Linked DNA regions of Drosophila melanogaster. The gene in region 1 interacts genetically with each later gene. Each region holds a gene or a part of one and is shown in the gene's direction. Other genes may lie near its edges.

Region 1 (5,822 bases):
GACACGCAGCCGTCGCGCATCCTTCGTTTCGGGGCAAAATCTTCTCAAGACGAAACTTCACACGACCAGATCGGCTAGAAATTTGAATAAAGTGCTGCATAAAAAAAACCGAAAGTGGTAAAAAAAAGTGAAAAAAGTTCATCAAAAAAAAAAAACGAGAAAAAAAAGGATTTATCATTCTGTGCGAGTTTTATACCTGGTCCCGAGGACCTCAGGCAAATAGATAAGGAGTTGGTGGTGGTGGTTTGGTCTTCGTCCTGCGTCCTTCGTCCTGCGTATGCAAATCGCTCGCCCGAGTCCGCGATGATTCCTTTTCAATTCGAACAATGCCGAGGGTCGCCGCCCTGTCCTTTGGCCACACATGTTTGCGTCTGCGTTTTTTCTGCATTAATCGTCCTATTTGGAAAAAAAAATGATTAAACCCTTTCGTTCGGTACATTTTTTTCGAAGATTTTTCCCCGTTTTTTTCGAGGTTCATCTTTTTTTTTTTTTTGCTTAAGTCATCCCGTTGTTGTAATTTCACTTTTCCGTGAGAACTTTTGATGGGTTCTGATGGAAATAGGATGCTCAGGTGGGACACAAAAGAAGTTTTTTTTTTTGGGAGCAAAAAAATAGTTTTATTTCGAATAAAACCGGAATAAAGAAAAAGAAACGTGAGAGTTTTGGTGTTCACATTAACGTATAATAATTTTAATGTAATGTTTTAAATAATCTACATGCTTAAAATTGATAAATTAGTTAAGTTAGTTAGGTATTGTAACTAATTTGATTTTTTTTTAAAATTAAGTAGCTTCTTTGTTACATTCTAAGATGTAACTAAATTAAAATGATAGACCCCATCCTGTTGCGGTTGGTATCTACTTTCCAAACGACCTAAGGCGATTTATGTTCGAATAATCGAGGTGCCTGCATCGTCGTGCCCAGCATCCTAAGCAATTCACCCCCCGGCGTGATGAACGATGATGGTCTTGGGCTCGAAAGGATTCGATCCAAGATCTGACCGAGTTTTCTCAATTTGCATATCGAGGGTCGCGAGCTCCTTTGAGGGGTGCTATCGTCGGGGCAAGGGTTTGTCATGGGAACAAAAGACGCATTCATTGCCGAAGAATAGCCGAAATCAATATTTGAGGTAATTAATTAACTGCATCAATATTGGAGACGAGGAAATCCATAACGATATTCACATTTACCAATCAATTGATTGACGATTGAATGTTATCTTGAATTTTATCGCTAGAAGTCATTTGGAAAGTTATTACGCTCATATTTCATATTTTAATTAAATATCGTTAACCGAATTTTTTAACTATCAGAAATGAACTGGTTTTCATCAAAAAGTTATTTTTTTATACTTTGTTAAATAAATTGTTGAATAAAGTGGTTTACCTCGATTTCATCATTTTTATATCTGATCTTGAAAAATTTTACATTATTTAATTTTAAATCAAGCTCACTCTCAATTTTTTGTTATTAAATATTCTCATTCTGCTAATTCAAATCGAGCGGTTTTATTTCTGTTCTCCATAACGCGATCTGGCAACCTCTTCCCTTAAAATGTTTCATCCCTGGGAAGAGGGTTGCCTCTGCTTCAAAAAAATGGCGCGAAATTTCAACATATCGTAAATTCAATATAACAAATATCTGATGGGCAAATTTTTAACAGATTATTTTTAAAATCTTTTTTTTATATATTTACGGTCAATTACATTTTGATTACTTATTTAACATTTAACCAAAACTTTTAGAAAAGAAATATAAAATTTTTAGAAATATTCGAATACTTCATTTGCGAATCGAAAAAAATTACTGAAATAAAATTATTTATATTAATGGGAAATATTGGCCATTTGAAAAGCACCTGCTGTGCTGAGTGACCGCACTTCGCTCGTCAAGTGTGGTATTTTTTAGTACGTTTCGGCGCTTAGCGCGTGCGGTCACACAAACGCCAGGTACGTGTCCAAAATCATGAATCGAAAGTAAATGAACAATGTTGCTGCTTCGAAACGCAAATGCTCGCTAAACTCGTGAAATTGGGATTCGGAATCGCAGGTGCGAAATCACACGGGTGGGGAAATCGGATTCAGATGCACTCCGTCGGCGAAGCGCAAAACAACTGAGCACGCAACAACAAAAACAGTGACAGCAACAGTCATAACAATAGCAACACTCACATCAAAACACAATGACAACACGCACGGTGCAGAGAAATCTGTGGGCCTCCGCTGCGGTGGTCCTAGTTCTGCTCCTGCTCTGGACGGACACCACTGGAGGCTATTTTGCAGCCATCGATGAGACGGAGACTAGCAAAAACTGCTTCTGCGAGGTGGGTTAATATTCGGATTATTGTACACAGTAACGGTAAAATTAATTGATGATTTAAGCCATTTAAAAATATGTTTTTCAAAAATATTAAGAAGTTGATTTCATCATCATTTGCTTATCCTTTAACGATCTCTACTTAGATCTTAAAAAAAGGCTTTTAAAATTGTATTTTAAACTGAAAAGTATGTAGTTGAAATACTGGAGATTAGTAAAAAAGAATTCGTGCTTATATTAGTTTTGCTTTAATTGCAGTGCAGAACGTACAGAATACTCAATTATTTATTTGTGATAATTAATTAATTACACTTGCTTCACTAATAATATTTGACCTAGTATATGTATAGTACTCAGCTAACTTGAGATCAAATTTTTGTATACCTACTATTGCCACCTCGACTGTATGATATTTATATTCTTCGCAGTTGGAGGGATCTATAAACGACTGCAGCTGCGATGTGGACACGGTGGATCACTTTAACAACATGAAAATCTATCCGCGATTGCAGAGTCTGCTGGTGAAGAACTTCTTCCGCTTCTACAAGGTGAACCTGCGGCAGGAGTGCCCCTTCTGGCCGGATGACAGTCGCTGTGCGATGCGCTTCTGCCAGGTGGAGAACTGCGAGGAGCAAGCGATTCCCCAGGGCATCAAGGACAAGGGAGAGCACAAGGAGAAGGCCGCGTTTAAAGTAAGATTCCGGGTATTTCCATCGCTATCGTCTACACTACGCCTCTTATCTTATTCAATCTTTTGCCAAAATCACCACTATCTACCCAATCACTCAATGGGCTTGCAGGTGATTTATTTTTATTCGAATGTCTGCGGCTCCACAAGAATGAACCGCATCGATAATCTTCAACTGAGCCTACACTGTTAATGATGTGGCCTTTGATTTTGTTTTGCAATGCTGACGTGGTCTTCACATCTCATCAAGCGTTTGCCCGCCCCTTTTTAATTGTCGATTAACTTATTAACTTATCTAAAATATTGATCACTCCTTAGCAGACTATACCATACAGTAAAATATTATAAACAAAAATTCTATACCCCAAAATGAGAATGAAAATCAATTATTGTTTTTAAAGATAACTCAAAAAAAAAAAAAAAAAAAGAAACAATGCAGTTCAATATACGTATGTATTTAACAGCAGAGGTTCTTATCTTCACAAACAAAAAACAATTGATACTCGTACATAGCAAAAAAAAAACAAAACCATATTATCTACCAGATACTTTATTAACGTATAGATAATTATTTATACCGATAATGCCGTTCAAGAATGTATTGATATATTTGTGAAAAGCTTTATCTGTTTCTTCAAAGATTACTTAACCATCAATGAAATAATGACTGACTTAAAACTTAAGCTTATTTGTTTGCACAACTGGCTCACTTCACCTTACTGACTTCCTCATCTGCATCTTGTATTTACAGTACACGCGCGAGGCGCAAGTTGGGGGCTCAGCGTGCTCGGATGGAGAGGATTTCGACAGCTCTCTGGGTTTCCTGGACACGAGCATAAGTGATCAGGCGCATCGGGAATTCGAACTGTGGGCGAAGCATGATGAGGCGGAAGAGGACTTTTGCATCGTGGACGATCATGAGGAGGGATCCCAGTATGTGGATCTGCTCCTAAATCCTGAGCGGTACACCGGCTATAAGGGCGAATCGGCACATCGCATCTGGAAGAGCATCTATCTGGAGAACTGCTTCGGTGGCAACAACGAGACGGCTAACAAGTTCTCTAACTACGTGCCTCATTTGGATTTGCGAAATGTGTGCTTGGAGCAGCGTGCCTTTTATCGCATTATTTCTGGCCTGCACTCTAGTATCAACATTCATCTGTGCTCCAAATACCTGCTGTCAGAGTCAAAGGACTTCTTAGATCCGCAGGGCATCTGGGGTCCCAACGTAAAGGAGTTTAAACGACGCTTTAGTCCAGAAACCACAAGCGGTGAAGGTCCGCACTGGCTGCGAAACCTCTACTTCATCTATCTGATAGAACTGCGCGCCTTGGCTAAGGCTGCTCCTTATCTGCGGCGAGAAGATTACTACACGGGCATCGCAGAGGAGGATGATGAGGTTAAACTAGCCATCAATGATATGTTGAGTGTCATAGAGTGAGTATAGGAATATTCTTTTTTCTTACAATGTTTCAATTTAGCTTCTTTTTGTAGAAATTTTCAATCCCACTTCGACGAGAACGCCCTCTTCAGTAATGGAATCGCTTCTATTAAGTTCAAGCACGACTATAAGGAAAAGTTCCGAAACATATCCCGCATCATGAGCTGCGTAGGCTGCGACAAGTGCAAACTGTGGGGGAAGCTGCAGACGCAGGGATTGGGTACTGCTTTAAAGATTCTCTACTCAGAGAAGCTCAATCTGGCCACGGAAAGCGGGTTGTGGGACAAGCCGCACATCGAAGCGGATCCCATCTTCAGGCTGTCGCGAACAGAGATTGTAGCTCTATTTAATGCGTTTGGCAGGTGCGTTTTAAATGATAAAATGGCATTTCTAAAATACTTACATCTATACACTTGCTTGCAGACTATCCAACAGTATATACGAGATGGAGAATTTCCGGTGCGTGCTGAGGTAACCCATCCAGACTGGACTAACCGAGCGACGAGCCGGATCTCATTCGCCTCACATGAGCAGCTAGTTAATTCATACGCACATCGCTGGGGCTGCGTCTTGGACTTCCTACTGAATGCGGTTTCCCTCCCATAGTTCGTAACATTTTTGAGGCCAGAGGCTAGTAACCCCAGGATAGCTGCTTCCCTGTACATACAAACTATTACCCTAGGCTACTTGTACTTTAGCGCACCGTATCACCCTAAAAAAAACCAAATGACAAAAAAATAACCCATGCAGGATGCAGGTGTTTATTGTAAGTTAGCATAGTATTTATTGTATCTGGAGGAGTTTGTGAGCGGAACTTAATGAGCAAGTAAACGCATTGTGCAATACCAAGACCTTACGACACAAGGCGCTAAAATAAACTTCTGTCTGTTTTGAAACACCCTCTCTAACGTCTCCATCGATACGGGTCCTAGCAACCGAGTTGTTTGCCATTCCAGCTGTCGGCTTTTGTGACATTAGCAAATTGCTATCCAGTCGATCGACACTTGATTGCTCTTGTGACTATATTTTCTGTGCGAAATGGTGCTTCTTCAGGTGAAACGCGGAGACGAGCTTATCTTCCTCTATGAGACAAGCGTTAAGGAGAAGACTGATACTGTGCTTCGCGAGCTTGTGGCTCTGCACAATGGTCAACTGAAGATTCAGCGTGTCTGCATGGAGATTGAGGAGCTGGCCGAACATGGCACCATGGTGCCGCCTGAAATGATTGGCCTCAACGAGGAACAGAGGGAAGAGCTCAAGCTTAAGGATGTCTGGGCGGATAAGTGCATCCCGTCTGGTGGTTTCACTATCAACAAGGATCCGCTCCTTCGCCGTAACGGACAGCAGCCAACTGAGGCGATGCAAAAGGTCCTGGCA
Region 2 (4,817 bases), on another chromosome or scaffold:
ATTCATTTATTGTCCCAATCTAATCGAAAAATTCCCCCTGTGGAACATTGGCTGATGTAATTTGCATTCTTCCAAGGCAGGGCCCACTGTATTGTGTACAATGGAGAAATCCCTCTATGGTTACTGATACCTAATACTTTGTTCCCAAATCAATTGATAGATAATGAATGCCGTTTCCACGCGGTTATCTTTCTGGATTCTCGTGGGAGTTGATATTGTTGTTGGGCATCCACTGTACTTATCTACATTTGAATTTGTGTGAATGTGTGTAATTTTCTCAATAAATGGCAAATAAAACAAACCATTAGGTTGGCTATATCTCATTTTTGAATTCCACCCGTCGAAGTTCGCTTATCAGTTTTTATAGCTCATTTACAGTGAAAGTTCGATAAAGTTACTAGCAGGGAATTCGAAGAAATTAAAAATAAAATCACACGAGTATGGCTACTAAAATATATATGAATTTATTATATCTTTGATCTGTCACATTGATCAAAATGAGTAAAAACACATTTTCTTATACGCCGAAAACAAACTGTTTATATTTAATGTCGGAACAGAATTATTAAGTTCAAAACCACCATCCTAAAAAAAAGCCTAGTCAACCTAGTGACCCATCCTTATCTGTGTGTTCGCTTTCATTCCAGTTGACATATTGACTCATCACCATTTGTGCCAGCTGATAAGCAATAATGATCGACTTAGAGGATCTGCCTCGGCTGCAATCCTTGTCCCCGGCGAAGGACATCGAATATACCTACCACCAGACCCAATTGCAGCTGAATCCGAAGAAGAAGGTCACCGTCCGGGTGCCCATTGGACCACCCTCGAAGTTGAGTAAGCTGATTAAGCCCACGGTGGCTTCCACGCCCGCTGTACTGGCCAAGCCAACGCCATCCATCACCCAATCGACGACGCCAGGTAACGCCAAGACCAACATTTGGAAAGGTGGCTTCCATTTTACCAATCTGGTAAGTATTGAAAGGCTTCGGTGTTAATTACTTTATCCAAATGCCAGCACAAATGTTCCCAGTTCAGAACGCAATATATCTATAAATTACCCCCATCAATCTAAATTAATTTTTATGAGCAGGTCTTTTAGATAGATTGATAGTCTTCTAGCTATATTTTGAATTACACGTTCTGAATAGTGTGGCTATCTGTTTTATTGAGCAAGTCTAATACAAATGTATCCATTTGTGATATCAATAGCTAACGGAAGTTATTGTTAAGATATTTGTATTTTTGCATGCATGTAGAATATCAATATCAATATCATGAAAAAAAATTATTTTAAATTAATATTAAGGAAATATAAAACTATATATATCCCTTTATTTTTAATTTTAATACAAATTTCAACTTTGTTATGTAGAACTAGTTAAAAAAATGACTAATGCAAATTAACTGAAAAATTTGCATGGACACGTGTCAAAAGCTTATAAGCTTACACCATATCTACATAAAATTGCAATAGCCACCATGTCTACATAAGTTACTCTTAGGGAAAATATAAATATGTTCTTTATATTCTTAAGATATTCTTTCTAAAAACTAAATCTAGAAATAAAAGGTAGGTAATAAAGATACATTTGTAACCGAAATCTACATTTCTAGCTCTCCTTTAAAAAGCTCTTTCTGTCACTGTTAGTTTAAGCTACATTTAACATTTCTGTTAAAAGCACAATGTATTATGGTGAGACCGCACTTGGCGGCCCCGAAAAAAACCGCAAAAGCACAAAACTCAACAAAATCGTCTGCAAAGAGCCTCAACTGGGCACACTTGATAAAAGCACCGCGCTGGACAGACGTTTTTTGCCTCAAATGTTTTGAGGCCGCAATCGAAAATCGCGACTGATTTCGACGGCGGAGAAATTGCCAAACGCGGCGTAACAAACAAAACACGTTTTCAAGCTCACCACGTAGGTACGGCGGTTGGCGAAAGAGAGTAGCAAAGCGGACGCGACAATAATTTGCCAAATAACAGTGAAAGAAGACGCGTAAAGGTGCGAAGTACACGCCGCTTAAATTGTGTGTGTGTGTGTGTGCGTGTCTGGCTGCGTGTGCTTGTGTGCCGGAACAACAAATGAAAAAGTTTCGGTTGTGCGTTTAAGAACTACAGTTGCGAAATGTTGCATGCCCCACTAAATAAGTGCAACTCATTGTGTGGTGGTGGTACTGTCGGTGGGGGTGGTGGGTTAAAGGCAATCAAAACAACAACGACCAACAGGCTAGCAACAACAGTTATTCAGCAATCGCCCCCTCTCGCTCTCGCGCTCAGTCTCCCTCTCTCGCTCCCTCTCCACCGCTCAGCTGACAGAATGCAATCGAGAAAAACATCGAGTTAGAAAGAATAGGGAACGAAAAGGAACTAGCAATTTGATAAATAATTTGTTGATGCAAAGTGCAGAGTGAATGTTGAAATGCTGCCGTTGCCGGTTATTCTCTGCTCATTCTCGAAGCTTCCATATTTCATTTTTCCTATTTGTTTTGCTCTCCGCGATTCTCAGCAAAAAATTAAATCGTTTTGCATTTAATTAATTGCATTAATTGTGGGCACAGACCGAATTGGAATTGGCAAGAAAAAACAGCAGTTGTATGCTTCAACGTGTGCGTGTCTTTTTTTTTGGTGTGTGAGTCAGAGAGAGACGAGAATCGGGCGATAAAAGAAAACAAAGAAATACAAAGCAATGTGGAGGCAAAACACATGCAAATATTAGGCAGTGTAAAAACAACAAACGAAGCGAAAATATTATTGTTTTAACCCTTGATGGACTTGACAATTTTTTGTACCTTAACGTAGTTAAATAATTTTACAGCTGTCTTGAAAATCTTAACATACAAATGACTTCAAATTCTAATTTGACGTAGGTCCAATATAGGGTTAACAAATAAGTGACGATTTCACCACGTAAAACGGCACCACCACCACACACACTCTCACACAAAAGTGCGTACCAGACGGCGAGAAAGAAGCACCAGGTGGCACATAATCAAATATCAATTGTTATTAATATTTAATGGCACTTGAATGCAAATTGTCTGCAGAAGAGAAAGTTCAAGGACGCAGACAAGCGAAATATATATTTAAAGTTGTTAAATAAATAAAACGCGTGTTTTCCAGCAATTAAAAGTAAAAATCGTAGAAAGTGAAACATAAACAAATAAGGTCTTGCAGAGCAAAAGAAAAGTGAACGGTAAACAATAAACCATTGTGTGTGCTGCAGGGAAGAAGAAGCAGCGAAGAGGAAAAGAAGATCAAGCAACGGCAACAACAACAAGGAGAACATTTACTGCGCCGCAGCTTTTTTACCGTTGTAGTCGGGTCTCATCATCCAAAAAAAATTTGAGGTGAGTGCACTGCAATACAGCCACAATCACACGCACACCCACACAAGAACCCTCTCTTGCACGCACATGCACACGTCATTTCCCTACCCCTCTCTTTCTCTCTCTCGCGCACATCTTTTCATTGAGAATTGAGCCAAATAAAGTTTGGATTTTTGTTAAAATGGCTTTAAACAAAGAAAGTTTATATCGAACCTTGAAAGAATTTTGCACACAATTTTTTCGTCCGTCCTTGAATCGGGTGCTTCACTTCGCATTGCGCACATTTCAAATGCTCGCGAGAGACCTTGAACAAGTTCAAGTTCAAAGCCATTTCGTCTGGGTCTGGGTCATTCCTTCCGCCTCACGCCCCCCTTTTTCGGGTGGGCGGTTGTCTGTTAACCTTGTTTAAGGGGGGGGGGGGTGTGTGTGTGGCTGGACAGGATGGGCATATTAAATGCGTTGTGGATATCAAACAGAATTCGGACAAAACAACAACCAAAGAAGGATACATGCATATATGTATTTATGTATTATACACACATATTTCGGAAAATTCGATTCTTGACCTGCTTAATTGTCTCTGAATATGAAATTAACTATGCTGAAATGCGCTAGGTCATCATCATAACAGCCTTTCTAGGCTATCCACTTTGGTTTGGTATGAAAACAAACTATGTGTTGTGTTTCTGTAGCAAAACCTTGTTAGTGTTTCTGCACATTTATAATTTCAAGTTTAAATAATAGAGATAAGGGATGTTTCCTTACGACAATCTTTCATTTATTTTAATATCTCTCGAAAGTATTACTTATGTACCTTAACTACATAATTGCGAACAGAAAAACATAATTGTGTTCGTTTTTGCTAAATAAATATGAATCCTAATATAATCGCGATGTGGAAATTAGATGTGTTTTTAATAAAAGACGTTACCGACCCGGAAGTTGAACTTTCTTTGGTGCACTTCCTCGTGCTTAGCAATTTATAAAATCGACTGGCAAACAAAACAAAGGCTGCACCACTCGAAACAAAAGCATTTTCATTTAACATTCAAACTGCATATATGGCCATGCGGCAATGTATGAATATTACACTACATATCTACATACTTGCATATGTACATATAGTTAGCAAATCGTTATGCTTACTAATTCCATTCTATTTGTTGTCACATCTTGATTTGCTTACAGAACAAAACCGAGGACAGCCATCAATTAAAAGCAAAGAGCATTGGAAAATCGGGGAGATAGGCCGTGGAAACTGCGAATTTTCAGCTTTTTGCGCAGATTTCGGAACGCCGAAGGAGGAGGAGGAGGAGGAGGCCGGAAGGCGGGGCAAGGCGACGTCATTGAACGCATAGATCCCGGACGACGCAGCCGTAGAGCTGTTGTCCGGGACGGAGAACAACAAGAACAACAGCAGCGGAGGAGGAGGAGGAGGAGGAGGAGGCGGCGGGCGGAGGTGGACTACGGACTACAAGAGTCACCCA

What was found.
Region 2: of Ero1L (region 1) and cnc, changing one suppresses a phenotype caused by changing the other (phenotypic suppression), as found in Drosophila melanogaster (one study listed by BioGRID).

The regions. Positions count from the first base shown.
Region 1 is NT_037436.4:4,168,470-4,174,291, forward strand, and holds Ero1L (endoplasmic reticulum oxidoreductin-1-like), read left to right. Parts: upstream 1-1,934; 5' UTR 1,935-2,182; coding exon 2,183-2,323; intron 2,324-2,744; coding exon 2,745-3,008; intron 3,009-3,755; coding exon 3,756-4,441; intron 4,442-4,498; coding exon 4,499-4,807; intron 4,808-4,868; coding exon 4,869-4,920; 3' UTR 4,921-5,320; downstream 5,321-5,822. Other genes in the region: CG18675 (uncharacterized protein), read left to right, coding at 5,484-5,822. UniProt on the Drosophila melanogaster protein: Oxidoreductase involved in disulfide bond formation in the endoplasmic reticulum. Efficiently reoxidizes pdi-1, the enzyme catalyzing protein disulfide formation, in order to allow pdi-1 to sustain additional rounds of disulfide formation.
Region 2 is NT_033777.3:23,218,951-23,223,767, reverse strand, and holds the start of cnc (cap-n-collar), read left to right. Parts: upstream 1-1,806; 5' UTR 1,807-1,922; exon of another isoform or gene 1,923-2,006; intron 2,007-2,871; exon of another isoform or gene 2,872-3,124; 5' UTR 3,125-3,351; intron 3,352-4,518; 5' UTR 4,519-4,817. UniProt on the Drosophila melanogaster protein: Plays a role in posterior cephalic patterning. Probable subunit of a heterodimeric regulatory protein involved in the control of head morphogenesis.